Linked DNA regions of Macaca fascicularis. The protein of the gene in region 1 purifies or fractionates together with the protein of each later gene. This does not show direct contact. Links are inferred from orthologs where the notes say so. Each region holds a gene or a part of one and is shown on either strand. Other genes may lie near its edges. The genes, in order: PYHIN1 and DCAF1.

Region 1 (3,824 bases):
CTAATAATTAACATATTTTGGCCTGTTTCTGCTATCTTCACTTCAATTTATAACTCTTCTATATTCTCCTACTTGCCTTTTTTTTTAAACTTACATTTCCATCTCACCCTCTAAGACAATTACATTAGTAAACTGTCACATTCTTTTTCTTCCCTCCCTCCACCATGTTGGTATACTTTCTGTTTCTCTTTTCTTTGATCAGGGCTTTCTTTTTAAGACATAGGCATACATAATCAAGTTCGTTTTTCATTCTTACTCGTCTTTTGGCCTGCAGCTTTTAAAAAATTTTTTTTTAATTTTCTATTGAAAAGTTCTTCCAAAAATGTTTCTGTGTGCATCTTTGTCTGGAAAAACTACTAAGGCCTTGAGGTTCAGAGAATAGTTTTCGGGGACCTTTTGTTTAAATATCATTTTGTTTAGATTGAAATTCTAGTTTTAAAAATTATTTTTTCCTTCAAGACAAGATGAGAGCATTTCTTTCGTACCTGGGAGGCTCGATATGTTTTTGAAAATCAGAACTTGGAGGTTTAAAAGATTATTTAATGCACATTTTTCTAGAAACCCCAATGTTATCAGTGTCATTACTGCAAAAACAAAAGCACTAATATTTCAGCATCAAAATATATGAATATTTGTGTTTAAGTGGAATAAATAAAAATCATACATAGCCTCCTGTAATCTCACATCTGGTTTCATTTTGCAAGTTAATTGTGTTGTCATACTCACAAAACAAATCAAAACATCCCATTTCTAAACTTTTTGTTTAGCAATTTATATGGGATTTTGGACCAGCATTATATAAAAATGATTCCATTCTCCTGTTTCAAGTAGATTTGTTGTTGAGAATCAGTTTCAATCTAATTTTTGGATCTTTGCAGGTGATATATTCTTCATTCTCAGAGGCGTATGGAGTATGTATTTGTTTTTTATATGCTTCAGTTTCACTATATGTCTTTGTATAGATTTTTTCCTTCATTCTATGCTTTTCAATCTGAGGACACTCATGTTCTCTCAAGAAGAAAGCAATTAACAGCCCCAGGAATTTAAATATCTTAATTACATAAGAGGTACACAAATACATTCTTTCTATAATTAAAATATTTGTTTTGGTATTTGTTTTTATTGAGATGGAGTTTTGCTTTTGTCACTCAAGCTGGAGTGCAGTGGCATGATCTCTGCTCACTGCAGACTCCAACTCCCAGGTTCAGGTGATTCTGTTGCCTCAGCCTTCCAAGTGGCTTGGATTACAGGCACCCACCACCATGCCTGGCTAACTTTTGTACTTTTAATAGAGACAGGGATTCACCATGATGGCCAGGCTGGTCTTGAATTCTTGACCTCAGGTGAACTGCCTCCCTCGGCCTCACAAAGTGCTGTGATAATTTAAAAAGGAATTAGGAATCCATAGCATGCTTTGTGTGTCATCATGTGCTAAAGTGCACTGGTGCTAAAGAGGTCCAGAGGAGTAATACTGTGTCCTTAAGGGGACTCTGAAAATTTCTAGAAGGCAAACTCTCAGTTGAGTCTTAAAGGTTGTAGGAGAGGTAGTTAGAGAGAGGAATGTGGGAATAGCTTTCCAGGCAATGAGAAGAGAATTAGCAAAGTCATGAAGCATGAAAATGTTTTATACTTCTGAATCGTAAGATATAAGGAACACACAAGTGCCAGAAGTTTAAAAAAGAAAAAAGAATGCAGATTATTCAAAGTTTTCTGAAACCAATACAAGAAGCAAGGAATGTATTGAAAAGAAAATGAGCAAATATTGAAACATTTCAGTGGGATAAAAATGTGTTTTATAGAGATAAATGTGGATCTGTTAAATGAAAATGAAATAGACAAATCGAGCCTAAAAGAAAAATCAAGCAACTATCAAAATATTCCAGCCAATAAATCCTGTGTTCTGCAATAGAGAAAATGTAGATGTCCAGGAAAGTGATAGTTTTATGGGCACAGAGGACAAATACGGCAGGGTCCAACACCAAGGAAGAGGATACTAATGATAGCTGACAAGAGAAGAGTTAAGGAGAATAGGGTCTGTGTCCCAGCATGAAACTGTAGTGCTGTAGCAGAAAGTTATTCATATAAGATGGGAGGCTGCAGCCCATTTACACCTAGGCCACTCCAGTCATAGTGGTGGGTGTGGGAAGATTTAAGAAACAACAGGCAGGTTTTGGGGGATAGGCCCCAGCCCCAATAAAGGATGGGAAGAGGAACCAAGGACTTTGACACTGCACAGCCCATACTCTAAACACTGAGACAATTGCTTGTTCACAGACCTCCTCCTAACACCTGGACCCAATTCAACTATCCTCATTCAATGGGAAGAATTACTTGGACATTCCTAAAGAAACAGTTCTTCACACTCAATTTCTACAGTAACACATTTGGTCATTAAGTCCTTCTTTATCACACATATTCATGAACAACTCTTTCTTATGGGCCACTCATTCACAGAGGCATACATCTTCTTTTAAATTGTCTGTATATGTGTGTAACACTGTCTACCATTTTTCTCTTGTAGGCTCACTTATATCTTTAGAGATGGCAAATAACTACAAGAAAATTGTTCTACTAAAAGGATTGGAGGTCATCAATGATTATCATTTTAGAATTGTTAAGTCCTTACTGAGCAATGATTTAAAACTTAATCCAAAAATGAAAGAAGAGTATGACAAAATTCAGATTGCTGACTTGATGGAAGAAAAGTTCCCAGGTGATGCTGGTTTGGGCAAACTAATAGAATTCTTCAAAGAAATACCAACACTGGGAGACCTTGCTGAAACTCTTAAAAGAGAAAAGTTAAAAGGTAATTGGGAAGAGGGAACACCCACCTGCTGCAACCATCCCCACCCTTCCCAACCTTGATTAGAATGCCACCTTGGTCATAGCTGATACATCCTTTTCCCAATTTGTGACTCACTGGCCGTGACATTGTTGGCACTTCAGATGCCAACAAGTTGACAACTTATGGCATTCCATTACTAATGTGGATTGACGTATATCAGAATATCGGAGTTGAGGTGCAGTAAAAGAACAAAAAGGAGAGGGGGTTGAAGACAGACTGAGACTTCTAGTACATTTGACAGATTACATAATGACAAAATAAAATTATAAAAAAATTGTTGTTTATATCTGAGATATGTACATTTAGCCAATTAATGTGTCCATTCTATTGAGAATATTCAACACATCATCATTCTTTATAATACAAAAGATAACATAGTATTTAAATGTAAGCATTGCTCCTGGTAGTATGAAGACCTCCTCTCTTGTCATATCATTGAGTTAAAATAATTAAAACAAAGTCGGCCGGGCGTGGTAGCTCAGGCCTGTAACCCCAGCACTTTGGGAGGCCAAGGCAGTTGGATCACGAGGTCAGAAGATCGAGACCATCCTGGCTAACAAGGTGAAACCCCGTCTCTACTAAAAAATACAAAAAATATTAGCCAGGCATGGTGGCAGGTGCCTGTAGTCCCAGCTACTTGGGGGGCTGAGGCAGGAGAACGGTGGCGTGAACCTGTGGGGCGGAGCTTGCAGGGAGCCGAGATCGCGCCACTGCACTCCAGCCTGGGTGACAGAGTGAGACTCTGTCTCAAAAAAATAAAATAAAAAATAAAAAAGTCAAAAGTCACAATATCTCACCTCACAAACCTATATAACATCTCCTTTCACTGGTTTCTGTAATTTGAATAGATTATCTGGAGAATGTGACTAAGCAGTCAGCATTATGAGAACCTTACATTTTAAAAGGAAATGATAGAAGAATAGGATTGGGAAGGGGTTTGACTGAGGCCCATAGAGTTCAGAGGACAGGAAGGATGTCC
Region 2 (3,824 bases), on another chromosome or scaffold:
GAGTAATAAACTAATCTGTGTGTGTACATACAAAATTACTTATGGCTAAGATAGAGAAAAAAATATCAAGGAAACCTGGGGATGCTTTACAGTTTCATTTTGTGACCCATAGTAGACATCAAAATGTGTGTGAATTAACCAGAGAATGAATACCAAACTCCTAGACTTAGGATCAGAAATCTGAGCCACTTTTATCACATTGGAGAAGTTCCTTACCTCTTCCTCTTCTTTTAAGTGAGAATCCTAATACCTGTATAATGGAGCCCTCGTGAGCAGTAAATAATGTAAATATTTGTTGGCACTTAGTAAGTATAGGTTGTATTTAAATATTTATCTAAATTTAGGTCGTTTTCAGGTTCGGAATGGATTGTGTTCTAAAATTGCCTTTGTATTATAACCTAAACTTTGTACTAAGAGTGACTTGATTGGAAATGGTCATTGTATTCTGCAGATATCTATACTGGTGAATTTTTCATCCTGTTCGAGGCTCCTTTGCCCACAATTTAAAAGCATTGCTTTATTTGTATTTTTTTGCAGGTTTGCATGCATCCCCACAATGTTCTGTCTGATGTGGTGAACTATACCCTGTGGTTAATGGAGTGTTCTCATGCTTCAGGATGCTGCCATGCTACCATGTTTTTTTCAATTTGCTTCTCATTTCGGGCCGTCTTGGAGCTCTTTGACCGCTATGATGGTCTTCGTCGTCTGGTGAACTTGGTGAGATTATTTCAGTGCTTTTCTCACTAGGATTAAGGGTCCTGGTTGTCTTGGCTGCCCTTTAACAGCACACCCTTGAAGAAAGGAAGCTTTTGGTTAGAGGAGTTTTGCTGCCATTCTTTCTGTGAAGTTTTTTTTTTTGTTTTTTTTTTTCCTTCCTTCACAAATTTCTCTTTTTCTTTAGTAGTTTGAGGACACTGTGCCATTGTAGACTTGCCTTGGATATAGTAATCTTATCACGGGGATTGGCAGTTGATGATCTTGATCTTTCTAAAAGCAATAGTTTTATGCCTGTATATTTTTTGCTGTGATTAAAAGCTTGTTCATTTTTCGGTATGGGTTTAATGTTTTGTTTTCATATAGCTACTGTTATCATGTTATATACACAGATATACATAAATATGGTTTGATATTTGTCAGTATTGTTAAGCATAAAAGTTTACTGATACATAGCAGAATGTGTGTGGAAAATAAAAAAAGTTTACTAAAATATTTTCCCATTTTTTAATCTTTTTTCTTAACTCTTGCCTTTTCCCCTCTTTTACCCCAATATTTTGTATCTTAATAGATCAGTACTTTGGAGATTCTAAATTTGGAAGATCAGGGTGCACTTCTGAGTGATGATGAAATATTTGCTAGCCGCCAAACTGGGAAACATACCTGCATGGCCTTGCGCAAATACTTTGAGGCTCACCTGGCCATTAAATTGGAACAAGTGAAGCAGTCACTTCAGAGGACTGAGGGTGGCATTCTTGTCCACCCACAACCCCCGTACAAGGTGAGAGGACCTTGTCTTGAAAGGGAAAGTTCTGTTAGCCCTCTCTGTAGCATCTCAGTCCTGAAACTCACATTCAGATCAGTGGACTCTGTGTTATGCCCATTGTTGGAGTATACTTCCCTGTTTGAAGGCAGAACCAATTGAAAAATGGATGTAATAGGTGAATTTCAGGGAATTATTTTGCTTCCAGTTGTAAGTTGCTGGGATTCTAGAACTAAAAGATTAACTGAAGTGTGTATAAAAAAGCTTTCTTTTTTTCTTTTTGAGATAGTCTCCCTCTGTCGCCCAGGGTGGAGTGCAGTGATGTGACCACAGCTCATTGCAACATTAACCTCCCAGGCTCAGGTGATCCTCCCACCTCAACCTCCTGAGTAGTTGGGGGACTATAGGCACACACCATCACACCCAGCTAATTTTTAAATTTTTTGTAGAGTTGGGGGTGCAACTATGTTGTCCTGGCTGGTCTTGAACTCCTGGGCTCAAAGAGGCCTCCCACCTCGACCTCTCAAAGTGCTAGAATTATAGGTGTGAGCCACTGTACCTGGCAAAGAACTATTTTGTATGAAAAGTACTAGATGATTTGCCTTCTATGCAGAATTTCTTTTCTGAAAATGTGTTTGTAACTCTACTTCTCTATCATTGTGGAGTTTGATATGTTTTGGGATATAGATGAGTAGCTGCATGTTTTTTAAAAAATCACCAACTGATTTCTTGAGGCCAGTAGTTTGAGACCAGCCTGGGCAACAATAGTGAGACCCTGTCTTTACAAAAGTTTTAAAAATTGGCTGGGCCCTGTGGTGTGCATCTATAGTTCTAGCTACTTCGGGGGCAGAGGTGGGAGGATCATTTGAACCCAGGAGTTCAAGACTGCTATGATCATACCACTACACTCCAGTCTGGGCACAGACTGTCTCAAAAAAAAAAAAAAAAAAAAAAAAGGCATGGTGGTGCATGAGTAGCCTCAGCTACTCTGGAGGGTGCGGTGGAAGAATCACTTCAGTCTGAGGGTTTGAGGCTGCATGTGATCAGGCTATGGCACTCCAGTCTGGGCAACAGAGTGAAACCCAGTCTTAAGAAAAAAAAGTCACAAATTGAAAAGAAATCAGTCACATGATGCTTCTTTCTCTTGAGCTATAACTTATATGCACAAAGGAAACTTGTTATCTTTTTGGACAAATCATATTGTGAGTCTAATTATAAATAAGGTAAAAGATTAATCAATATATGGTCATTATTTCACATATGGGCTTTTGACTTAAGAATTTTGGAATTTGAAAGGTATTATTATTTACTTTTTAATTAAAACCTTGGCCAAGCATGGTGGCTCATGTCTGTAATTCCAGCACTTCAGGAGGCTGAGGTGGGAGGATCACTTGAGTCTAGGAGTTCAGGGCTGCAGTGAGCTATGATCGTGCCACTGCACTCCAGCATGGACAACAAAATGAGACCCTGTCTCTACGAAAAATAAAATAATTAGCTGGGTGTGGTGGCATGTGCCTATGGTTCTAGCTACTTGGGATGCTGAGACAGGAGGATAGCTTGAGCCTGGGAGATTGAAGCTACAGTGAGCCATGATCAAGCCACTGCCCTCCAGCCTGGGCGGCCAAGTGAGACCCTGTCTTGAAATAAATAAGTAAAATGAAATATCTTGGCCAGTGAGCTGCGCTCAAGAAGGTAGTAGGCAGATGTAGAGTTATATATAATAATAATACTGTATATCTCTCCTTATAGGCATGCTCATATACTCATGAACAGATTGTGGAAATGATGGAATTTTTGATAGAATATGGCCCAGCACAGCTATATTGGGAACCAGCTGAAGTCTTCCTCAAACTTTCTTGTGTGCAACTCTTGTTGCAGCTTATTTCTATTGCCTGCAATTGGAAGACCTATTATGCAAGGTGGGACCAGAGAGAGATTTCAAATGAAGTTTGATGCATCTTTTTACTAAAGTTGATGTTGGTTTGTGCATGGTATATGCTTAACAAAATTTCTTGAATTGAAATTTTGGACTTGAAACTGAGAAATTAGGCATGAAAATATGATTTTTAATTTACAGCACACTTGTTCATATGTATGGTCTTGGTGATTGTAAATATTACGTAATAGGCAAGGATCAGCGTCTGTACTGTCAGAGAAGGTACGTGATTTACATGGCCACAGCTGCAGAGCTGGGGTTAAAGTCTTGTCTTGAGGCTAGAGTCCAGGATTCTTCAGTGCTTAGACTTTAAGTGTCTTGCTAGTACTTGACAACCATATATAATGTTTATATTATGTTCATATAAAATTGTCCTTTTACTCTTGGAATTCAACACACTGTTAGGATTTT

What was found.
Region 2: the proteins of PYHIN1 (region 1) and DCAF1 purify together in Homo sapiens (affinity purification with mass spectrometry; 3 studies listed by BioGRID and IntAct, counting the BioPlex papers as one, with this or other methods). This does not show direct contact. The link is inferred for Macaca fascicularis from reciprocal best matches to the Homo sapiens genes PYHIN1 and DCAF1.

The regions. Positions count from the first base shown.
Region 1 is NC_088375.1:102,138,790-102,142,613, reverse strand, and holds part of PYHIN1 (pyrin and HIN domain-containing protein 1), read left to right. Parts: intron 1-2,521; 5' UTR 2,522-2,541; coding exon 2,542-2,806; intron 2,807-3,824. UniProt on the Homo sapiens protein: Major mediator of the tumor suppressor activity of IFN in breast cancer cells. Promotes ubiquitination and subsequent degradation of MDM2, which leads to p53/TP53 stabilization.
Region 2 is NC_088376.1:114,446,978-114,450,801, reverse strand, and holds part of DCAF1 (DDB1- and CUL4-associated factor 1), read left to right. Parts: intron 1-537; coding exon 538-717; intron 718-1,285; coding exon 1,286-1,495; intron 1,496-3,226; coding exon 3,227-3,396; intron 3,397-3,824. UniProt on the Homo sapiens protein: Acts both as a substrate recognition component of E3 ubiquitin-protein ligase complexes and as an atypical serine/threonine-protein kinase, playing key roles in various processes such as cell cycle, telomerase regulation and histone modification.